Linked DNA regions of Sus scrofa. The protein of the gene in region 4 interacts with the protein of the main gene of each other region in a biochemical or structural test. Links are inferred from orthologs where the notes say so. Each region holds a gene or a part of one and is shown on either strand. Other genes may lie near its edges.

Region 1 (2,264 bases), on a different chromosome or scaffold from region 4:
GGGAAGGACAGACTTGAGGACAGCCCTCCCCCGCCCGGAGGGCAGCACCTGGGGTGCACTAGGGTGGCCCAGCTCCTCCGCCTACCCTGAGCCAGGCCGCACCCTCAGGCCAGCCCTCTCCACCATGCAGACCCCTGATGGAGAGCAGGTGGCCGGGGAGGCCAGGGCAGCAGGGCGGAGGCGTGGCCTATGAGGGCAGAGCTGGAAGCCTTGGTGGTCCTGGGGCTCTGGGCCAGTCTCCAAGGAACTTCCAAATTCCCCTGGAAGGCCTGGCTGGCTAAGGAGGGCAGGGGCAGAGGCCTGAAGGGAAGGAAGCAGAGGCCCAATAACCAGGAGGGGTCCCCAAGAGGCCTAGCCCCCTCAAAACTACTCCTGGCGGGGAGGCTTGGGGGTGGACAGGTGGAAGGCTGAGAGGAAGCCACCTGAGGGGGGTGGGGCAGCCAGACAGAGAGCAGCCAGGAGGGCAGCAGCAGAGCAGGGACACGCACACACGCGGCTCACCACCAGCGTCCCCTTTAATAAAACATGGAAGGTCGTGTGACAGGGAAGGGCGTGGGGGGTGAAGTACGACCATTTACAACCACAAAAAAAACCTCTGTACATGTCTAGTGCCTGGCAGAGGGGAGGGCAGGCAGGGCGGCGGCAGGCCGGGCCAGCCCTATTTGTAGAGGATGTCGTAGTGTCCAGGCCGGTAGAGAAGGTAGACCTTGGGCTCGGAGCCCTCGGGGAAGATGTGGGGGTTGGTGGTGCCGCCCTCGCCGCGGTCCATGTACTCCACCTGGATGGAGACGCTGAGCGCCTGGGCCAGCGCGATGATGTGGATGTGGTCGCTCTCCTTGCACATGGGCTCCACCTCCTGCAGCACAGGGGCCGCTCAGGGCCTGGGTCTTGGCGCCTCCGCACCCCCAGCCACCCGGTGCACCCCCGGGCCCCGAGGCTCCCACCCTGAGGCCCCAGTGAGTCTGGGGAGCGGGGAGGGGGCAGCACCTGCTGGCAGAACTCCTTGACGGTCCGCCCACCCTCGATGAAGTGCTCGAAGAACTTGCTCTCGCGCTGCAGGTAGCCCGAGGTGAGCAGCCGCAGGTAGACCACCAGGTAGTCCGAGGTGCTCTGGTCGTTGAAGGAGGCCAGCAGGTCGGCCACTGAGGTCTGCTTCTCCACCTGCTCGATTAGGTCCATGAACTGCCGCCCAAGGGGGACAGAGAGCAAGTGAGGGAGGAGATGGGCCGATGCTGCCTCGGCCAGGCCCCCCGCCCTCCACCCGGCCGAGAGGCTCACCGTGTTGTGGAAATCCTCAATTGTGAATTCGGTGAAGCCCTGGGACACCAGGTCCTCTTTGCTCTTAGCAGACACAGCCTTGAACCTGCAGCCGGGAGGGAAAGAGAGGCTGCGCGGGCTCCTCGGCCAGCAGAGAGGCCAGCTCAGAGGTGGGGGCCCGGGCAGCACGGGAACCGCACCTCCTGGTCCCCAGGAGGATGGAGGGAGCCCCTCGGGCCCTTCCTAGGACCCTGCCCCACCCGCCTCTTTGTGCTCGAGGGCCCGCCCTCCTCACCGCTGCAGCTCCTTGCTGTCATCCAGCAACGCCTCCAAGTGGGAGAAACCGAAAGCACGATAGAAGCAGTTTCCATCAGGCCTGGTCTTGCGGATGTACGAGTACTTTTTGTGGAGGTCCTGCGGAGAGGCAGCCCCCGCCCCACCCGGGCCCATCAACATCAGGCCAGAGCCAGGGCGGGCCGAGGAAACCGCCCTGACGAGGTTGCTCTACAGCAGGTGGCAACTAAGCTCCAAGCAGCCACCTGCCATCCTTGGCTGCTGACTCTGGTGATGCTACCAGGAGCCCCCAAAGCCTCAGGAAACTGACTTCTGGACACATAGGTTGCACGGGTCACCAGCGGCTGGGCAAGTGACTGAGTCCTTGATCAAAGCAGCTTTTCCAGGGAAGGACCTTTCACACTTGGAGAGCTCCAGGGCAGCGTGGTGCCCATGGCACAGCCTGGGGCTGGACACAGCCTCCCTCACCTCCTTCTAAGCTCTACCCCGCCCACCCTCAGGCACTGGCTCCATCTTTTCTGGTTCCCTCCCCAAACTCAGTGAAATTTCTTCTCTGTCTGTTGAACCTCCCTGTAGGAGTCAAGGCCTCACTCCCTCAGCCTAGGCGCCCTCCCCTTCTCCCCGACACCCATCTCATACCTTTTCTGTTCTCTTCAAACCCCCACCCACCTTGACCTTGCTTCCTTTTGGACTGAAGACTTCCCCTGAGAACC
Region 2 (4,118 bases), on a different chromosome or scaffold from region 4:
TCACAAGTCTTCTCTCTCTACTCCGGTTAAAGCTGCGGCGTTTTCACAGATTTGTTTTCCTGTTTAAAATTAAGACAAGGAAACAAACCCTACTTCTGGTTTAACAGTGGAGTCAAGACCATCCATTACTCTTCAGCTTTCTTTTAAGAGAAGATACGAGATTTCAAATAAGCCAATACAAGATTTAAGAGTGATCTAGCAGTCATACCTCTGCAAGATTAGAGATGAAAAAAAAGTGGAGAGGTGGTCTACAAATGGGAAGGTGATAGAAAGCACAGGTGCTTTGGCTGGAAAGGTGCTATGGCCCAAGGAGGCTAGGACCTCAGGCCGGGCTCAGAAGTGGGTCAGGATCTGAGAAAGACCACTAAGAGTGAGGTCTTGGGTTTCCGCAGCAGGAGGCGGGACGCCCACCCTCGCCCTTTCCCCGGAAGAACGCGACGAGGACCCGCGGGCACTGGAGCTGCGCGGCGGCGGGGAAGGATAGGCTGTGCGCGGGCTGCAGGTCGCGGCCGAGGCGGAGGAAACAGCCGCCGCCCCTGCGGAGGGAGTGAGGCCGGGGGCTTCCCGAGGAAGGGCGATGAGAGCGAGTCCTTTCGAACATTTCCACCCGGCTCTCTCGCGTCGGCCCGGCCCCGCCCGGCCCCGCCCCAGCAGCTCCGGCAACCGCCTCCTCCCAGCCGACGCGGGGTAGAGTGGGGGGCGGGGGGAACCAGCACCAGCGCCTTTAAGAGGCGTGGCCACACGCTCCGCCCCCACTTGCCCCTCGCGCGCCAGTGAGGGGTGGGGTGCGGGAGGAGGTGTCCGGACGGGAGGGGGAGTGAGACGTGCGCTGGCGCGCAGGCGCAGTAACGAGACGACAGATCGTGTGTTTCCAAAATGGCGGCAGCGATGGATGTGGATACCCCGAGCGGCACCAACAGCGGCGCGGGCAAGAAGCGCTTTGAAGTGAAAAAGGTTGGGTCTCGCCAGCGCCTTCCTCAGGGAAACTAGAGAGGCGCGGATCTGGCTGGCAGGCCCAGGATGACCAAGGCGCGGAGGAAAGGGCTTCATTTCAGGGCGTTCCGGGGACCGGGTACCACCAAAGGAAGCCGGGAGGCGGGTCTTAGGGTTGATCGGCGTGACTGCGGCCCACTGTCAGTGCCAGTGTTGGTTTCGCTCGGAGGCTGAGGGGCCAATCACGGAGGTGCTTATTGAGATGCGCGGGGTTGCGACTTGGATGCAGGAGCCAAGCGCCTGAGCTGTCACTGGAGTGGTGGAGGGGTGGGGAAGGCGAGGGTGGGGCGGGTGGAAGGGGGAGTCGAGGGCTGCGGTGGGTGGAGGATGGGACAGTACGGCCCAAGCCGGGAACCTGAGGTCCTACCGCATTGGAGGCTTCTGAGGACCGGGCTAGTGATCTCCGTGCCCCGCCCCTATCCAAAGCTTGGGGTCCCTCTGAGGAACCTCGACCTGGTCCTCGCCTAATCGAGGCCTCCATTAGCCCTCTCTGGCCCTCGCCCCTGCCGAGTTAGTTTCTCGAGTGTAACTCTTGGCTCTTCTGAAAGGTCTGTTGATTTGTTACACAGCCGCCCCAGTCCTGCGGTCATATCCAGAATCCCCATCCGAAAAAAAAAAAAAAAGGCATGGTGGAATTTGTTAAAAAGAAAACGGAGCCCAAGTATTGTTTCAAGTAGGGAGGGTTGAATACAAGTTGCGAACAACCTGGTAAAGTGGGAAAGAAGAAATGTGGAACGTGTCTTTTTGCATGAAATGCCTTACAGTGATTTGCCAGCAGTTTGGGAGAAAAGTGCCCATCCCACATTAGATAAAACAAATCTGTCCAAAATGAAGATTCCAAATAGGGAAGATTTTATCCCTGGAACATCTAGCTAAACCCTGACGGTATTCCCCCGTCTAATGCGTTTTGGCGTTTCATTGTGGGCACTGCATGCTCAGTTACAGCCAGCAGCCATATTGAAGAATAGAAGTAAGATTTTTTTTTTCTTCTTTCCTCCAAGTTGAAGCTGTCGGTGAAAAGTGTTGAAGAAGTTGCTAGACATTGAAAATTAGGTTTGAAGGAGATGAAGGTTTGGGACGTGTCACCAAATTAGGGGGTGAAAGGGAGTTTGGGAATATTTATTGCAGAAGCCAGAGGTTGAATTATTGAAATACCACTTTTAGATAAACTCTTAAGGAAATTATCCTAGCTAAATATAACAGTCTGAGCATATAAAAGTTGAGAACATCAGCTTATTTGATGATAGGAACTATACGAAATTCCAGTGAATTTTAGAGTTTGTTGTGAAATAATCTTATAAGATTTAAGCGATGACCTTGTTCTATGGACTCACACTGGGTAGTTATCCAGCTTATCCTACGATTACCCGTTTTATGATCCAATCAACATCTTAGTTCATTCTCTTCCTAGCCTTCACCTGTCCATTCCTGCGTAAAAGCTGCCTTGAAGAGCAGGTATTTATGCAGAAATTGAGCTCTTTTGCAACTGCCAGGAGAACCTGCACAGTAATTCAAGTTTGTGATTATTAGACCTAAAACCGACACTTATAAATTATTCCTGATTTATTTATATTGATATGGCTGACTAAATTAAACTGTAGGAAAAAATAAAAGATGATATTCATTTGTGTTTATATAGTTGACAGTTTAGAGAATGGGTAAGCATACGTGTAGCCTACTGATGCTCTCTGATATAATTTTAAAAAAAAGAGTCATGTAACATCCAGAAACTCTTGTTTGGTGGTCTTTGTGGCCAAAAAGGTGATAACTACAGGATGAAATCCTGGAGTGTGTGTGTGTATGTGTATGTGTGTGTGTGTGCACGCGTGTGCGCTTGTGTTAAAAGAGTAGCATGCATTGTTCCCCCTTTTTCTCTTTGCAGTGGAATGCAGTAGCCCTCTGGGCCTGGGATATTGTGGTTGATAACTGTGCCATCTGCAGGAACCACATTATGGATCTTTGTAAGTAATTGGAGGAGGATGGGAGGAAGTTTGAGAAGGTTACAGAGATTGCAGCTATCCTGATGTGACCAATTTTCTTCTTCACGAGGAAAGATAAAGTATATTCTTAGCACTTGGGGACTTCTGCATTTGGTGTGTTGGTATGTTTGAAATAAAGTAATTTTTTTAGGGTGTCCTGAAGGCATATCCATCTCTCAGAATAAGGCTATTCAATCTAAAGATAAGGCCACATTTAGAATGAATTGCGGGCACAGAGGTACTGTTGATTATTTCTTCTCCATTTCCCATCTTGCACCCAGACTTAAAGGCAAAAATAGTGAAAGAAAGAAAATTAACTTTGAGCTAAAATATCCTAGCAGAGCAAATGTTTGCTGGGGAAGATTTATGAAGAGGTCTAAGGAGTATGCATTTTCAGTGTTAGCCCCAAATGTAGTTAACATCACTGCCAACATCTAAATAGGTAGTTAATTGCTCTAAGAAAATTTCATTTAAATTTCCATATAGTCCATTACACATAGTGGTCAGCACACAGTAGGTTTAATTATAGCTGTTAATGGACTTAGTATTTCTGTAGTACTAGGGGCAAGAATTATTGATCACACCAGGAGCAGTTGAGGTTACTTTTTATTCAGTTACTAAAATGGTTTGTTACTGAGATCAGAAAGAGGACAAAGAAGAGTTCCCGTCGTGGCTTAGTGGTCAACAAACCCGACTAGTATCCATGAGGACGGGGGTTTGATCTCTGCCCTTGATCAATGGGTTAAAGATTTGGCACTGCCGTGAGCTGTGGTGTAGGTCACAGAAGTGTCTCAGATCTGGTGTGGCTGTGGCTATGGCGTGCGCTGGCAGCTACAGCTCTGGTTCGACCCCTAGCCTGGGAACTTACATATGCCACAGGTATGACTCTAAACACACACACACACACACACACACACACACACACACACACGAAAGAAATAGGGCAAAGAAATTTCAACGTTCTAGAATTGAAATTTTAACTTATTTTGAAAACCACATACGTGCCTCTTCAGCTTTATCTCGAGCCACTCTCCTTACTCTGGTAGTACCCTGGCTTTCCTTCTATTCTGGAACTATCCGTGGTCTTGTATAGAGCTCTTACATATCTTGTTCCCCCTACTGGAATATTCACCGCCTCTTCTCCCC
Region 3 (2,451 bases), on a different chromosome or scaffold from region 4:
AGATGGACATATGTCTGGCTGGCTGGACAGAATGGATGGCATGTGCCAAGGGCTCATATATAGTTTTGGATGGGGTTCCCGTCGTGGCGCAGTGGTTGACGAATCCAACTAGGAACCACGAGGTTGCAGGTTCGATCCCTGGCCTCGCTCAGTGGGTTAAGGATCCAGCATTGCTGTGAGCTGTGGTGTAGGTCGCAGACGAGGCTCAGATCCTGCGTTGCTGTGACTCTGGCGTAGGCCAGTGGCTACAGCTCTGATTAAACCCCTAACCTGGGAACCTCCATATGCCACAGGAGTGGCCCTAGAAAAGGCAAAAAGACAAAAAAAAAAAAAAAAAAAAAAAAAGTTTGGATGGTGGAATAGACAGAGAGATGACAGATGGCTGGATTGATGGATAGACAGGTGGACAAATGTCTGGCTGGCTGGACAGGATGGATAGATGGATGGATGGATGGAAGGATGGATGAATAGATAAAACCAACGAACAAATATTACATTTAGGGAAAGTTTGAAAAGTGAGAGCCCTTCGGGCACCTTGTCCCTGACCCCTTGGGGTGATGCTTTCTTAGATGCCGTTAAAGTCATCCTGGACTACAACACCGCCCACAACAAGGTGGCCCTGTCCCAGAACTTCACCGTCGCTTCTGCGGCCGACACGTCCCAGGACTACCAGCCACATCCCCAGAGGTTCACCTACTGCTCGCAGGTGTTGGGCCTGCACTGCTACAAGAAAGGGATCCACTACTGGGAGGTGGAGCTGCAGAAGAACAACTTCTGCGGGGTAGGCGTCTGCTACGGCAGCATGCCGCGCCACGGCCCCGAGAGCCGGCTTGGCCGCAACAGCGCCTCCTGGTGCGTGGAGTGGTTCAACACCAAGATCTCGGCCTGGCACAACAACGTGGAGAAAACCCTGCCCTCCACCAAGTCCACGCGGGTGGGGGTGCTTCTCAACTGCGATCACGGCTTTGTCATCTTCTTCGCCGTGGCCGACAAGGTCCACTTGCTGTATAAGTTCAAGGTGGCCTTTGCGGAGGCGTTGTACCCGGCCTTCTGGGTGTTCTCCGCAGGTGCCACACTCTCCATCTGCTCCACCAGGTAGGCAGGCTGGGGACCCTTGGCTTGACTGCCTGGGCCGTGCTGGAGACCCTAATGAAATTGCTGCAGGTGGGACTCTCAGGGAGCTGCCCTGAGCGTCCCCAGGGGTTGCAAGGATGGGAGGGGAGTGGGTGAGGGTGAGAGGGTGGGAAGACGGGGTAAGAGGAGGCTGTTGGCCAGGGCAAGGGGTGGGGTGATTGTGATGTGGGCAGGGAAGCCCTTCTGCTTCCTGGTGCCCTTCAGGGGAGGGACAGGATGTCCCCCCTCCCCTGACTTGTTCTCTGGACAGCTGGGTGGGGCTTTGAGAATAAAATCATTAGCACCCTTTTCCTCTTAGAGATAATCCATAGCCACTCTGGGTTCTTCCTTAGGCTGCTGGTGTCTGCCTCTTTGCTCTCTGGAGGAGCCTTCAAATCTTAGTGTTCGGATGACTCTCTGTAGAGCTGTTCGACTCTCTAGATTTAAAAAAAAATAACTTCCAAAGTCACTGAGTTTCAATATGACTCGCCCTCCACTACCTACACGTGGAGGTTGGGGTGAATGCTCAGACTTCTGGTTATTGGCTGTGCCCGAGGGAAGTGACCCACAGGGGGTCTCCAGCCAGACCAGAGGATTCCCAAAGAAGGATGGCCTCTTTCTGCACTGGCACATAGCCCTGTTTCCCTTCCTGTCCTGCACATCTCATCACCCCATCCATGGTGTTAAAATGTGTAGGCAAATAGGAACCTTTTCAGTGTCAGATTTCAAACCCTGATCTGAATCAACCTGGGTTGAATTTGCGATTCAAGGTCAAGGTGACCCAGGTCCCACGTGGATGGCAACACCCCTCCCCACTTGCGCCCCGTCAAACATTACGAAAGGCATCTTGGCCAAGATGCCTTGGCTGCAGCCATGGAGCCTTCTTCCCCTAGCCCAGGCTTTGGGACAAAGGACTCCGCTAGGCAAGAGGGACCCTCACGGGGTTCACAGTTGGTGGTCTTGCTCTCGTTAGCGTCTCTTGCCTTCTAACTCATCACTGTCCTCAGTGAGAGCCTCCCCTCTCCTGGACTGTGAGAGTCTGGACTGGCTGGGAGAGCCACATCCACTGTGGCCAGCACTGTTGAACAGTCAGCCTAGCCTGCTGTCACGCAGACAGGCCCTCTGTCTCGGGGACACACTAGGTCACCTGCTGGGGTGACTCCCTACGGCCAGAAGGGCCTTCCAGCGAATCCATGGGAAATGGCACCATGCCTCCCAACCCAGGCGGTCCTTGCATGAGACAGAGGCCTGTCACCAGCCCTAGCCCCGTCCGTTCTCCTTGGCTGAGCCAATTCCAGGTGTAGATTGTCTTGACCTGGTGAAGAATCAGGAAGACTT
Region 4 (4,047 bases):
AAAGAAAAAAGTGATGACTCTTTTTAAACCTTTTTTGACATGGACATTTTTATGCTACACACACAACGTGGTACAGGTTTAGAAAAAGAACAAAGTAAGCCAAAATCGGATACATTCCTTTTTAAATGTAATCTGAAGGGAGTAATAGAAATGTCTTTGAAGGCTGAAGCAAAATGTAACCTACTTGAGTGAAAAATCAATAAGCTATCTTTCAGGAAAATTGTACTCAACAATTGTCTAATGGTCTTTTAAAGGAAGTAAATAAACAAATGGAAATGAGGAGTTTAGGAGACAGCCGCCTTATTTTTTTTAATCCTAACAATCTAGTTCTGTGTGAGACTTTTTTTTTTTTTTGCCCCACTGCCATTTCTTCCTCTTCCTTTGCTATCAGAACCCTGATTTGATTCTGGGATCCTGGGGCCACCTGTGAAAGGCAGACCAGATCCTGAAGCCAAGGCAAGCATCATGATAGGTAATCATGGTAATCTCAATTCCTTCACCAGGGCCTGATTTGGTCCTTGAGACTTAAGGGGAGATTTACATAGGAGGAGGGCCTTGGTCTAAAAATAGACTGCCCCACATTCAAAATAAATTCAAGGAAGGAATTATTCTTTGTTTTTTTTGGATGTTGTGAGTCTGCATGTGATGCCCAGGGCTACTACAGCCATCTTGCCACCATGAGGCAAGACATCAGGCAGGACTAATATTGAGGATAGTAGAATGAAAGATGGAAAACATCTGGGCTGATGACATTTTCAAATAACAATAGCCCTGCAATTCTCTCTATTTTAATGAGATAATACCTTTCCTACTGTTGAAAGCCTTTTAAGCCATGCTTGTTACTCATAGATAAAAGCATCTCAATGGCCACAACTTCAGAGCCTAATAAGGAAATGCATTGCCATGTTTAAAAATGTTCTGATAAACTGACTTAAAATAAGTAGTCAGTTCTGGGATTCATTGAAGATATTATCAGTGATGTAACTAAGGAAACATTTTCTCTTTTGGAACCAAATTGAAGCAGTGAAGAAAATAAACCATTAACTAGGAACTGCCAAACAACAGTCCCTAGGCCAAATCCCACTTGCAGACTGTTATCGTAAATCCTGTAAGACAAAACCAATCTGTACTTTTTTTTTTTGTTCTTCCTAGGGCTGCGCTCGCAGCATATGGAGGTTCCCAGGCTAGGGGTTGAATCAGAGCTACAGCTGCTGGTTTACACCACAGCCACAGCAATGTCAGATCTGTGCCGTGTCTGAGACCTACACCACAGCTCATGGCAACGCCGAATCCTTAACCCACAGAGCAAGGCCAGGGATCCTCATGGATCCTAGTCAGGTTTGTTAACTGCCAAGTCACAACGGGAACTCCTATATTTTTTAATAGTTGAAAAAAAACATCAAATGAATAAGAATATTTCATGACACATGAAAAGTATATGAATTAGAATTTTGGTCTCTAGAAAGGAAGTTGTTAGAGCATAGCCATGCCCATTTGCCTGTGGCGGCTACATGAGAGCTGAGTAATTACAGTAGAGAATATATGATCTTCAAATGATCTTCAAAGCCTAAAATATTTACTCTCCGCTCCTTAAAGAAAAGTTTTGCTGACCATTGCTACAGACCAATGGACTTACCTCAAATTGCATGGTAGAATTACTCAAGGAACTTTCAGAAATACTGATACCAGGACCCATCTAGACCAATTAAATAGAAATAGAGCCAGTGAATCTATTACAAAGGCAAGGCTGAAAGCCATTTCTCTACGTAATGTGAGTGCATACAATACAAGTGAGCTTCAACCTGGACAGATTTAATAGGTTTAGAGAAAACGAAATAAATCTAGCTTCGAACCATCATTTATAACCCCAAATTCTCTGCCATCAGCCTAAGTTTCACCTGTCACCAATTCAATTCACAAAGCACAAAGCGGTGTTTGCAACCAGAATGTTAGAAACAACAGTGTAAACAGTACATCCTTGTTTAAATGTTGACCCAACTGGCACACATGGGTGGTACTGGTTGTTAGCACTCCAAGACAGAGTGGGAGTGGAATTGAAGAAAAACAAACAGAGGAAAGAACTAGACTGTTAACAGCTAAAAAGTATTTGGGGAAACAATTATAGCCCAAAAGGATTAACGGAAGGGAATAATATAGCAACAATGACCAGAATGTAGACGTTTTCACTAAATTCTACACTGGATCAGAAAATATCACTCAGGTATCATTTTATAAAAAGGAAAAGGGGTGCAGTTCCTGGTCTGGCCTGGAAGGAGCTTGAAAGTCATTCCTCCATTCTAAAAACAAGAAAAAGCCGAACAAACTGAAAAATCACCCACTCTTAAATCCATGAGAGAACGAAGGTCTCAGGGCAAATCTCGGGCCCTCACATTAGAGAGACAGGGAGACACAGAAAATCACAACTTACCAGAGCGGAAACCCACAAGCAGAAACCTCCTCAGGAACCAGTGCCGCAGTCAGGAAAGCTGAACTGTATTTGACAGGTGGCTGGAGCCGCAGAGTAGACAAATCGGAGAATTAAATATTCCAGAGGAATCCACACTTTGTGAGCTTTGCCTCTAGGAGCCCTACTAGACTCTCACAGTGGAGATCTGAGAGGAAAATCTTCTTGTGTTTCCTGAAGAAGGAGCCGAAGAGGAACCACCTTGAAATGTGCCAGAGCACTCACTTCTTAACAAGGTCCGCCTGCAGGAGAAGCTATTTTCTAGGGCCTAACCTGCTGGGATTTTATCTGTGCCTAACTGACCTAGGGGAAGGGAAATGCCCAGCCCCAGCTGGCTCTATTCTTACACTGGGGAAGCGAAATACGCAACTCCTGCTCCTCTAGGCATCTTGTTCCAATTAAGGGGGGGGAGTGGGGCAAAAAAAAAAAAAAACCCACAACAACAGAGAAGCACGTGTGACGTTCACAGCCCAGCAGCACAGGCTCATCAAAAGACTGACACCTAATCATAAAACTATAAAACATTTTCCCTTCCCCCACACCTAACCACCACATCATTAAAGGCCTATTTACTGCAGTTCCTTTTACTCAGTACAAGTCCATCTTTCAAGAAAAACTTGTAAGGCATACTAAAAGGCAAAAGACAGACACCATTTGAAGAGCCAGAGCAATGTTCAATCCCTGGCCCAGGAACATCCACATGCTGTAGGTGTGACCAAATGCATGCATATATAAATAAAGACATACGTAAATTAAAAATAAAGGCATGGAGAAAGATATGCCATGCTAACACCAGTCAAAAAAATTCAGGAGTAACTCTACTAATTTTAGACAGAGCAGACTTCAGAGCAATAAAAGTTATCAGAGATATAGAGGAGCATTACATAATAATAAAGTGGAATAGATTCAGATATGGCAAGAATGTTGTTAGAATTATTACACCAGGAATGTAAAATAAATATGATGAATATGCAAAGGGCTAATGGAAAAAATAGACAACATGCAAGAACAGATGGGCAATGTCTGCAGAGAGATGGAAATTCTTAGAAAGTACCAAAAAGAAATGCTGGAACCAAAACACTGTAACAGAAATAAAAAAATGCATTTGATGGGCTAATCAGTAGGCTGGACACAGCTGAGGAAAGAATTTCTGAGCTTAAGGAAATGTTAATAGAAACTTCCAAAACAGAGATGCAAAGAGGGAAAAAAAAAATGGAAAAAAAACCCAAAAGATAATATCTAAGAACTGTGAGACAACTATAAAAAAGTGTTACATATGTATAATGGGAATACCAGGAAGAGAAAGTAATAGGAGAAATATTTGAAGCAATAAGGACAGCAATTTTCTTTAAATTAATGTAAAATGCTAATGTCAGAGACATCAATCATGAATAGTTCCAAAAAACACTACACCTAGGCATATCATATTCAAACTACAGAAGATCAAAAATAAAGAAAAATCTCGAAAGAAGCCAGAGGAGAGGAAAAAAGCCTTACTTATAGTAGAGCAAAGATGAAAATTACATGCAACTTCTCAGAAACCATGGAAGTGGAGCAGAGTGAAATTTAAAGTGTTCAGAAGG
Region 5 (3,964 bases), on a different chromosome or scaffold from region 4:
GGCTGTCCCCGCTGCCGGTCCCCGGCGCCCCCTCCCCTCAACCAGGAAGGCTCGCCTTTCCTGAGACCCGCCCTCGGCTAACAGGGGTCCCGCCGAGCGCCTCACGATGAATCGGGGTCCCGCTCCCCTGGCCCGAGTTCCGCCGTGCCCCTCCCCCCAACCCCTCTTCCCCGCCAGCGAAACCGTGGGGTCTTTATTCTGGGTCTCCCATAGGTAACGATAGTGTTTCTGTTTCCATAAACTTCCCCTCACCCCCAGTGGGTCGCGAGGACTTCCCGGGGGGTCTAGTCACCCCAACTGTGGCGGCCGAACCCATCCCCCTGCGGGCGGGCACCGGGACAAGAGGAATGACTCGACAAATCTCGGGGCCGGGCCTCAAGCCCGCCTCAGGAGGGTCGTCAGGACCTGCAGGAATTTTCTCACAACGCAGGAGTGAAAAATAAGTGTCCAAAGGAGAAATGCCTGTGACAAGTTCACATTGAATTTTGAAAAGTAAAAGCAAAAATTCCACACAGCTGTGAAACACTCCTTGCGCTGGACCTGAAAGCTGACAGAACTTTGCGGATTGCTCTTCGGCCTTCCTGTTTTGTTCCCGATTATGAGCAAGAAGGCATCAGAATTTCACTTCTGCTGCCATTTGAACTCAGAAATCAGAAATCAAATCTATTTAAACCCACGTTTTCTTTTTTTCTTTTTTTTAATTTTATTTTTTAATGAAGTTTTTTATTGTAGTTGATTTATAATGTCAATTTCTGCTTTACAGCAAAATGATAGTCATGCATATATATACATTTCCTTTCTTATCGCTGAGCCTGAGATTTTTAAAAGGACACTAATTGTAAGTTCTGTATAGTCCTGGTGGAAAAAAGACCCCAAGTATGAAATTTAAATCTATAGACAAATTCCATTTGGATAAAAGAAAAAGATCACCAGTCAGATCTTTTTCATTTTGATATTTTATTTTGTGATCTCTGTGTCATTTCTCCAGCATATTTTTTCCTTTTTTCAAAAAGCATACTTAAATTTTTTTCCAAAGGCATATTTTAAAAATGTTTTAAAATATATGAACGTGATGAAAACTTAAAACAGGTTTTCTATAGTTTATAATGAAAAACCTCCCTCATGCACTCAATTCCCTAGCCACTGTTCTTTCTAGACTCTTCTAGAAATATTCTCTATTTCTATAAATGTGGGGAGGGTGTTTTTAATTTTTACCCTTGAAGCTTTCAATAAATATATAGAAAAAGAGAGAACCGACTAAAAAATACCCTGCTATTAGGAAAAGACTACATTCCTGTTGGAATTATAAACATTATGTTATTTAAATACTGTACTTAAAATGAGAATAAAAACAAAACTATGTTTTCTTTGGCAACCTGTGTCTGTAGGTATTTATGGGAAAGGTCTAAGCAGTATTCAAAACAGACTTTAACTCCTATCGTTTTAAACATTTTCAAAGAGAATGAATTCATTACCAAGAAATGTAAATGAATAATAAAAATAAAATGTCATTTTTCAGTTTAGCAGGAGACCTCAGTGACTTCCAGTAGAGATTTCTGTGAGGGATATTTCTAAATTTCTGAAAAGAGGGTTTAAAGGAACAGAACATCAAAGCTCTGTATAAGGTTTCCTTCTTGAATTCCAGAAAGAAGTTTTCAGAGGAACAAAAAGCTGAGGTTCTTTCTCAGGTGACTAGGCCTGGCTTCAAACCACACCCTGTTTTCTTTTGGCTGTTCTTTCACTGCAGGTCTTATGATTCATGTTGTTTAAAGGCTGAGTCACGAGCTTTGTGACATAGCTTTTTTTTCAAGAGTCCAAAAACTACAGAGAAAAACAGACCTGATTTCAGAGGCAAGGGAAGGTGAAAAGGAGAAAGAGGGGGAGAGGGGGAAGAAGAAAGGCTCCAAGGGTGAGGACTGGGTCCCAGGGCTATCTCCAAAGAGAAAACAATATTCTTAGGCGCTAACAACACTGATGTTGTCTCTAGCAGGAAAATTCTCTACTAGAGAATTTTGGTCTCTAAGTCCAACAGTGGGTTTTGTTGAAGCAAATAGAAATAAACATTTGTCCAAGGGCACTGAAGTGAAAGGGAGGAGGGGGAAGTAAACTCTCAGGGAGGTAGATGCTGTTTCTCTAGAGCAGTGGTTCTCAACCAGGAGCGACTTGGTCCCTTGGTGGACACTTGGCAGTATCTGGAGACATTTTTGCTTGTCACAGCTGTGGTGTTGGGGTTGAGGTGTGCCGCTAAAATCTAGTGGTAGAGGCCAGGGATGTTACTAAACATCCTGCAGTGGCCAGTCCCCCACAAAAACAGAATTACCCAGCCCCCAAAGTCAGCAATGCAATGGGTTGACAAATTCTGCTCTACGGAGGATTTTTGTTGTTTTTGTTAGAGCTGCTTTTCTGTTTGCTGAGAAGGGCTCCCAAAGTCTAAATGTCCCACTTGGATTCGGGGATCGTGTACCAAGTCACGTTCCTACAACCTAAAATCCCTTGACCTAGAATGCAATGTGCTAGAATATGCCAGAAGCAGGATGAGTCATTGGATCCATTTTCAGTTCCTTCCACCCACTGATCCATCCTTTGCAGGTGCCCCAGAAGGGATGGCTTCAGAGCTGGCACCAATGGAAGAGTGACAGAGGCCCAGCAACACGGCAGGATTGGCGGGCAGGCAAGAGCACGTGATGGGCTGAGCTCACAAAGGGCCTGGGTGTTGGGCTGTTGGGGATTGGACTGGAGCCTACCTGTCTGCCTTTCCTCCTTTCCCCAAAGGATTCAGCTCTCCTGAAGGTCACCACCTTGTATGGGACTTAACTCAGCGTCATGAGAGTGTCTACGTAGTGACCAGCAAACATTTTCTTTCCAAGAGAAAGGGTGAAATCTGAGAGCTGGACGGGAAAGGTTTGACTTGCGTCATCATCAGTTATATAACCATAAAAGGGAATCTGCAGCTTAGGAGAGAAAAAATAAAAAGAAGCCCTAGGGACTCTACTCTGTCCGTTTTCCTGCTTACATTTATGTATTTGCATTCTGTGGCAGAACACAAACTGCTCCAGCTTAAAAATAACCCATCTTATCCCCCCGCCAGTCAGGAAGTCAGATTCAGTTCCAGTACCCAAATTTGCCTAACTTAGAAACACTAAGAAATTTTTTAACTCACTGGGGTTTTGTTTTGTTTTTTAATTTGCTGTTTTTAAATTGTGGCAAAATACACATAAAAATGTATCATCTTAACTATTTTTAAGTGTACAGCTCAGTGGCATTAATTATATTGTAGGGGAGGAAAAATAATTTTCCTTTTGGGAATCCTTCTTTTAGCTGAGACCCCTGTAATGAAAGACAGATTAGCAAGAGAAACAAAACAAAAGAAAACAAAAACAATAGTTTAGTAATATGCACACCTTGTGTATATATGGGAGCTACCCTCTGGGGGAAAATGTGTCACTTAAAAAAAAGGCTTTAGAATTTAGGCTTAAATACCATCTTAATAGGAAATTCTCTTAAAGGGAGAGTAAATAATTTTTACTGAGAAAATAGAAGAATAGATGGAGACAAGATAGTTGATGACAAAGTTTGGTGTCAAAGTTTGTCTCTCCTGTTTTAAGAGCCAATCTTCCCTGGTTGGTGAAAACTCCCTTGAGTTTCTTTTGCAAAATCTGTCTGGGCAGATTAGGGGAGTTGAGTGAAAGCCTCACTCTGCATTTGCTGCTTTTCAAGTGACTACACCTCAAAACAATATCAAATTGGGGTATTTGGGTGTCCATCACTGCCATCTGTGTCCACTCTTCGGCTTGCTAGACTGAAATTTTGTACGCATTAAACACTAACTACCCCCACCCCCAGCCCTGGGCAACCACCATTCTATTTTCTGTCTCTATGAATTTGACAAGTTTTTGGTACCTCATATAATGAGTTTTGTTAGTTTGTTTTTTAACTATGAAATAAAATCTAATTATTGAAAACA
Region 6 (3,500 bases), on a different chromosome or scaffold from region 4:
ATTTCTGGTCCTCCTCAAAGTGGCTGTTATCTACTGAAGGACTAGGAGAAAGCATGCAGTAGGCAGATGATCTTGTTCTTAGCAGTGTGGCTTTTAAACCTTCAACTTCACACACACGAACATGGGTTCCCAACAGTCAGATGGTGGGAAGCACCTGGAAGGGAGGTGAACTTTTATTTATTTTTGTCTTTTTAGGGCTGCCAGCTAGGGGTCTAATCGGAGCTGTTGCTGCGGCCTACACCACAACCACAGCAACACAGGATCTGAGCCATGTCTGCGACCTACACCATAGCTCACGGCAACACTGGATCCTTAACCCACTGAGAGAGGCTGATGATCGAACCTGGCTCCTGATGGATACTAGTTGGGTTTGTTACCACTAAGCCACAGTGGGAATCCCACTGGGTTTTTAAAGGGACTGAACATGATAATCAGATCCATCCTGCCTCCAGGCACTCTTCCCCACCCAGTAACCAATCCTTCTGATCCACTAGCTTCCTTGTGCTTTGCCCCAGGAGACACATTCTTCTGCCACAGCGACATTCAAGTCTCATGCAGAGTGGCTCTGCAACCCTCAGCAGTGCAGGCGCCAGATGTGATGACCTCACTTAGTTAAATGAGCAGATAGTCACTACACAAATATGGTTACTTGAGGAAACTCACCCGCTCCTTCCCTAAACTCTTTATCCAAACTCTCTGCCTGGGAAACTTGTTGGTAAATATATTAGGATGTCCAAAGTTAACACAGTAGGATTAAACTGATTTCTTTTTGATTAATATTATGCCTAATTTGTGTAATCAAGCTGTGACTCTTACTGTGAATCTAAATATGTTTTCCTCACATTTCTTGGCATTCTCCAAGGTGTGAGTCTTTTACGCGTACACATCCTATTTATAATTTATTATACACCCAAGGTTTTTAATGACACATGGACAGCAACTAAACTGTCTTGAACAACAGCACCATCTAGTGACCAGCACAGCAAACTGTTTTCTAATCACATCTTTATGCCAGCAACCAAGACATGTACACCCAAGCCATACCATTCCCTGCTGCTCAAATAATAGTTTATTCTACCTCAACTCTTACACATTCACTATCTTTAACTTGCTTTACTTTCCCCCATTTCTTCCAATTCTCACTTAGCTCAAGAATCTTTAAACAAAACAAAACAAAAGAATCATTTATGTTGACTCCTCTCCATCCAAAAAAATCATCCTAAGCCTTTGGTTGAGGGGACTCACCTCTTGTTCAGACCCACTCACCTTTTCGTTCCTTGATGAGAACAACTCGTCGTTCTTTCACTTCTGAGCTCAGATTATCTACCATCTTATTAATGCAATTGTCCAGAACCAGGGAGTGTGTTTTGGACTTGATGTCCTTCCGACAAATGGGGCATTCTACCTTCCGCTTCATCCACTCATTGATACAGAAGGAGCAGAAACTATGGGCACAGTTCAAGGTGACAGCCTAGAATGGGAAGGTGAACACACACATCAGAACTGTCATGGTTACTTCCCCAGGGCCGTTGTGATCCTTGAACTAAGACAGAAGTGAATTCCCAAGGCCAAATGGAAATTTAATCACAGCCTCATCCAGGGGGTTTACAAAGGGTATCAGAATCATTCCTAGGAATGGGAAATTTTAAGCTTCATGTTAGATGATTCATTTTTCTCTCTCAAAGTTAAGTTCCTAGACTTGGCTTCCAGGTAGGCTGATTTGCCTATTCTGTTCCAAACTCAGGTATCTCATGCTGCCAACATGTACCAGCTACTGTGCAAAAAAATGTCACCAGACATAAGAACACTGGTAAGCCTGTGAGTGTTTGGTATAAATACACCGTTAATTCTCTCATGAAAAACAAATGTACATCCTAATGGGGAATTACAAACTCAATTTTAATAGATGCAAGAGAAAAGAGAACTTAAGCTGGGAAAAAAGGAACTAAAAATGGGGGTGAAATGTAATGGGTTCAACTGAGAGTGCCTTAAGTAAAAAAGCCTATGAGAAGAGAGAAAGCAGAAGCAAGTCTGAATCTGAGCAGCTCCTCTGAGGAACCCCAATGATCAGCTAGTTCTGCCCAGGCTCTTTTCACTCCCCCAATATAAGCCATTCTTTGCATTACTCCCTTTTATGTATACCTCCTAAGAAACAACTTTTTCTGAGGCTCAAAAATCTCATTCTGGCTTTCAGGACAGCAGCAGAAAATAACACAGAAATTACGTATTTTCCAAATGCCAAGTTGAGACCAGAAAGCCAACTAGGAGAAGTTCTCAGTAAAGAATGAGATCAATTCTCATAAACAGCACTAAAAACCTGCATGATTAAAATGAAACCTCTTGCAGTTCCTGTTGTGACGCACTGGGAAACGAATCTGACTAGGAACCATGAGGTTGCAGGTTCGATCCCTGGCCTCGCTCAGTGGGTTGAGGATCCAGCATTGCTGTGAGCTGTGGTGTAGGTTGCATACAGTGCTTGGAGCCTGTGTTGCTATGCCTCTGGTGAAGGCTGGCAGCAACAGCTGCAATCAGACCCCTAGCCTGGGAACCTCCATATGCCACGGGTATGGCCCTAAAAAGACAAAAAAAAAAAAAAAAAAAGAAACCTCTTCCCAATACTGACTTTTTTTTTTTTTTTTTTTGTCTTTTCTAGGGCCACACCCATGGTATACGGAGGTTCCCAGGCTAGCGGTCTAATCAGAGCTGTAACGCCGGCCTACACCACAGCCACAGCAATGAGGGATCCGAGCCATGTCTGCGACCTACACCACAGCTCATGGCAATACCAGATCCTTAACCCACTGAGTGAGACCAGGGATCAAACCCAAAGCCTCATGGTTCCTAGTCAGATTCGTTAACCACTGAGTCATGACGGGAACTCCCCAACACGGACTTTAAGAGATGATCAGCAGAAATGGTCAGGCACACCTGCAAATCAAACCCAGGTCAAGTTCTCTCTTCTTCATGCTGTACAGATGCTCTCAATTACCTAACTTAGCACCCATTCCAATCCCTCTTGTCTTCCTCTATTAGAGCCCATAAGCCCCAACAAAACAACACTAACTGAGTTTCTCCAAAGTAGGAAATCAAATGACTAGAAATTGGGGGAAATGACGATCTGAGTCAAAGTGGATCTAAAGCAAAAGAACCAGGTCTATCCAGGAGAGACTTTTCAGGAGGCTACCACACTGCGTCTCCCTAGAGACCACTAGAAAAAAAGCAGCAGTGTGTGTATGAGATCTCTTTTTCAAAGGAGTCTGCCTGGAGTTCCTTCATGGCCCATCGGGGGTTAAGGATCTGGCATTGTCACTGCTGTGGCGCTGGTTTGATCGCTGGCCCAAGAACTTCTGCATGCCATGGGTATGGCCAAAAAAATTCAAAAAGGAATCTGAAAAGCACTCCTTTTTTATTTATTTAACAACTTGAGTCTAACACCTGTGGTGTTAAGATGAATGGGTCACAAATGAGAAATAGTGAAAAAAAAAAAAGTCTGTGCAGAA
Region 7 (2,842 bases), on a different chromosome or scaffold from region 4:
ATAGGAAAATATATTCCCTCGTGGTTGCTGTGGTTATAATCACCCTGGCATTCTTCCAATGGCCTCATCTATTTATTTAATTCTCTCGGCAACCCTTGGGGGAAGATCAGGAAGGGCAAAGAATAGTCACTGCCCTTTTACATGGAAAAGGGGCAAAGAGGTGACATGCACGATCAAAGGCTGCCTCGCTGGTTTGTGTGGCCAGACTTTCTGCCCGGCCCAGTCCAACGGAACTGAATTTCCACTTCTCCCACCAGTGTGGAGGCAGCCTGGGAGCCTACAGATGAATCGGAAGAAGAAAGGGAGGGGAAAGCTTCGGATCAGAAGACTTCAAAGACATATCAACTGCTAATGGGTATCAGGGGTCTTTCTGGGGGTGATGAAAATGTTCTAAAATTAGACAGTGGTGATGGTTTCACAACTCTGTCAATATATGAAAAAACTGATGTGTACACTTGAAGTGAATTTTACAGTATGTAAATCAAATCTCAACAAAGCTATTACGAAAAAGATGTATCAGGTTTTTTTAATGGGCAAGACTAAATGCTTGCAGCTAGGAACACATATTTAGGTGCTAAAACAAAAGATGCAAGGAAGCCATTACTATAAAAGCCAGGACGGGCGTTCCCATCGTGGCTCAGCAGAAATGAATCTGACTAGCATCCATGAGGATGCACGTTCAATCCCCGGCTTCACTCAGAAGGTTAAGGATCCGGAGTTCCCGTCGTGGCGCAGTGGTTAACGAATCTGACTAGGAACCATGAGGTTGTGGGTTCAGTCCCTGCCCTTGCTCAGTGGGTTAACGATCCGGCGTTGCCATGAGCTGTGGTGTAGGTCACAGACGTGGCTCGGATCCCGAGTTGCTGTGGCTCTGGCGTAGGCCGGTGGCTACAGCTCCGATTAGACCCCTAGCCTGGGAACCTCCATGCCTCGGGAGCAGCCCAACAAATAGCAAAAAAAAAAGACAAAAAAATAAAAAAAATTTAAAAAAAAGAAGGTTAAGGATCCGGTGTGGCCATGAGCTGTGGTGTAGGTCACAGACGAGGCTCAGATCTGATGTGGCTATGGCTGTGGCTGTGGCGTAGGCCAGCATCTATAGCTCTGATTCGACCCCTAGCCTGGGAACTTCCATATGCCGAGGGTATGGCCCTAAAAAGACAAAACAACAACAAAACAGGAATAGAAAAAGGCACATAGGGCAGGGGCCAGGAGACCCCTAATTTCCTCTCCCAGTGGAGTCAGGAGAATAAGGCTTAATTCTCCCAACACAATGTGTGACAACACAGACAGAATATTGCCAGCCGGGAGGCCCAGCCAAGACTTGTGTCCATGGCTTTGACTGGGGGGTCGGTCACATAGGCAGACCCACCACCCACATCATGACCTTAGTTTCCAGTCCCTCCAGAGGTCAAGCTGATACTGCCTGGCCCAAGACCCTCAGGTAAAGAAAGACACCTTATCAGGCAGGATATTACAAGGGCTTTGTTTTTTTTTTTTTGGTTTTGGTTTTGGTTTTTGTCTTTTTGCATTCTAATTGGAGCTGCAGCCACCAGCCACAGCAACGTGGGATCCGAGCCGCATCTGCAACCTACACCACAGCTCACGGCAATGCCAGATCCTTAACCCACTGAGCAAGGCCAGGGATCAAACTGGCAACCTCATGGTTCCTAGTCAGATTCGTTAACCACTGTGCCACGACAGGAACTCCTCCAAGGGCTTTGAAGTTATCTCCCAGTCAAGACTCTCCTTTCTTTGGAATGTGCGGATCTGAACAACCTAAGCCTGCTGAGTTAAGCACTTACTTCGAATTCCTTAACATCTGAAATGGGAATCTTTTTTTTTTTTCCCAGGGCCACACCTGCGGCATATGGAAGTTCCCAGGCTAGGGGGTCGAGCTGGAAGTGCAACTGCAGGCCTACACCACAGCCACAGCAGCACCAGATCCAAGCTGTATCTGTGACCTATGCCGCCACTTGCAGCAACACCGGATCCCTAACCCACTGAGCGACGCCAGAGATGGAACCTGCATCCTCATGGATACTAATTGGGTTCTTAAACTGCTAAGCCACAACAGGAATTCCCTGAAGTGGGATTCTTAAGCCAAGTTGCCGGCCTGCCTGAAGCCAGAGAGACTGGGAAACCAACATGTTTTCACACCCAAGGAACGTTTATAGGTTTACCTGCCTTACAGTCAGAGAGTTTCCAGGATATAAGCCATACAGCCAGAAGGCAGGGTACAGAGCAAAGGAGGCAGAGACTGGATACTCGTACAGAAGCTTCTCTTGATCAGCCACGGAATAGAAGGCGAGCTTTTCCTTCTCGAAGTCCAGCCAGATGCCTACCACACCAGGTCTGTCTGAGCCAAGGACAGTTTGCTTGACTACGTGCCACGCAGAGAGCTGGCTAGCCCCGTTCCACTCCACGCACCAGGAGTCGCTGGTCCTTCCCAGGATCTGGTCACGCCTCATCCCCCGGGAAGCCACCCCAACTGCCCAGTGGCTACAACGCTGGGTGTCCACTTCCCAGTACCGCTGCCCAGAAGAGAAGCCCTGGGAACCCAAAACCTGGCAGGAGGCAAACCTCTCGGGACTCCAGGGATAGGACTGTGGGTAGTGAGATACGGTCACCGTCCGGTGATCCTCGGACACCTCCAGGCTACAGGAGAGGCTCCCTAGGTCAAAGGTTGGACTGATGGCCCCTGAGGGAAAAGAAACAAGAATGTGACCAGCCAGCTCTGATGGTTCATGCGAAGAGATCCTCAAATAGCAAAAAGCAGCTTTGTATCTTCGAGTGTGATAAAGTTTTACTCACACTAACATAAACCCTGGTATATCAACGTGCA

Evidence for each region.
Region 1: the proteins of ubiquitin-conjugating enzyme E2 N-like (region 4) and OTUB1 form a complex in vitro, tested with the Homo sapiens proteins (6 studies listed by BioGRID and IntAct, with this or other methods). The link is inferred for Sus scrofa from reciprocal best matches to the Homo sapiens genes UBE2N and OTUB1.
Region 2: the proteins of ubiquitin-conjugating enzyme E2 N-like (region 4) and RBX1 form a complex in vitro, tested with the Homo sapiens proteins (5 studies listed by BioGRID). The link is inferred for Sus scrofa from reciprocal best matches to the Homo sapiens genes UBE2N and RBX1.
Region 3: the proteins of ubiquitin-conjugating enzyme E2 N-like (region 4) and TRIM25 form a complex in vitro, tested with the Homo sapiens proteins (3 studies listed by BioGRID, with this or other methods). The link is inferred for Sus scrofa from reciprocal best matches to the Homo sapiens genes UBE2N and TRIM25.
Region 5: of the proteins of ubiquitin-conjugating enzyme E2 N-like (region 4) and UBC, one has a biochemical effect on the other in vitro, tested with the Homo sapiens proteins (21 studies listed by BioGRID, with this or other methods). The link is inferred for Sus scrofa from reciprocal best matches to the Homo sapiens genes UBE2N and UBC.
Region 6: the proteins of ubiquitin-conjugating enzyme E2 N-like (region 4) and RNF8 form a complex in vitro, tested with the Homo sapiens proteins (7 studies listed by BioGRID). The link is inferred for Sus scrofa from reciprocal best matches to the Homo sapiens genes UBE2N and RNF8.
Region 7: the proteins of ubiquitin-conjugating enzyme E2 N-like (region 4) and RNF135 form a complex in vitro, tested with the Homo sapiens proteins (4 studies listed by BioGRID). The link is inferred for Sus scrofa from reciprocal best matches to the Homo sapiens genes UBE2N and RNF135.

Annotation. Positions count from the first base shown.
Region 1 is NC_010444.4:8,088,028-8,090,291, forward strand, and holds the end of OTUB1 (ubiquitin thioesterase OTUB1), read right to left. Parts: intron 1,672-2,264; coding exon 1,553-1,671; intron 1,364-1,552; coding exon 1,279-1,363; intron 1,183-1,278; coding exon 988-1,182; intron 857-987; coding exon 659-856; 3' UTR 501-658; downstream 1-500. UniProt on the Homo sapiens protein: Hydrolase that can specifically remove 'Lys-48'-linked conjugated ubiquitin from proteins and plays an important regulatory role at the level of protein turnover by preventing degradation.
Region 2 is NC_010447.5:7,512,065-7,516,182, reverse strand, and holds the start of RBX1 (E3 ubiquitin-protein ligase RBX1), read left to right. Parts: upstream 1-1,318; 5' UTR 1,319-1,893; coding exon 1,894-1,963; intron 1,964-2,404; coding exon 2,405-2,448; intron 2,449-2,875; coding exon 2,876-2,954; intron 2,955-4,118. UniProt on the Homo sapiens protein: E3 ubiquitin ligase component of multiple cullin-RING-based E3 ubiquitin-protein ligase (CRLs) complexes which mediate the ubiquitination and subsequent proteasomal degradation of target proteins, including proteins involved in cell cycle progression, signal transduction, transcription and transcription-coupled nucleotide excision repair.
Region 3 is NC_010454.4:33,185,990-33,188,440, reverse strand, and holds part of TRIM25 (E3 ubiquitin/ISG15 ligase TRIM25), read left to right. Parts: intron 1-569; coding exon 570-1,099; 3' UTR 1,100-2,451.
Region 4 is NC_010443.5:26,024,561-26,028,607, reverse strand, and holds the start of ubiquitin-conjugating enzyme E2 N-like, read right to left. Parts: upstream 2,801-4,047; 5' UTR 2,429-2,800; intron 1-2,428. UniProt on the Homo sapiens protein: The UBE2V1-UBE2N and UBE2V2-UBE2N heterodimers catalyze the synthesis of non-canonical 'Lys-63'-linked polyubiquitin chains. This type of polyubiquitination does not lead to protein degradation by the proteasome.
Region 5 is NC_010456.5:28,252,693-28,256,656, reverse strand, and holds the start of UBC (polyubiquitin-C), read right to left. Parts: upstream 2,801-3,964; 5' UTR 2,745-2,800; intron 1-2,744.
Region 6 is NC_010449.5:32,959,312-32,962,811, reverse strand, and holds part of RNF8 (E3 ubiquitin-protein ligase RNF8), read right to left. Parts: intron 1,472-3,500; coding exon 1,267-1,471; intron 155-1,266; coding exon 108-154; 3' UTR 1-107. UniProt on the Homo sapiens protein: E3 ubiquitin-protein ligase that plays a key role in DNA damage signaling via 2 distinct roles: by mediating the 'Lys-63'-linked ubiquitination of histones H2A and H2AX and promoting the recruitment of DNA repair proteins at double-strand breaks (DSBs) sites, and by catalyzing 'Lys-48'-linked ubiquitination to remove target proteins from DNA damage sites.
Region 7 is NC_010454.4:42,793,255-42,796,096, forward strand, and holds the end of RNF135 (E3 ubiquitin-protein ligase RNF135), read right to left. Parts: intron 2,699-2,842; coding exon 2,169-2,698; 3' UTR 501-2,168; downstream 1-500.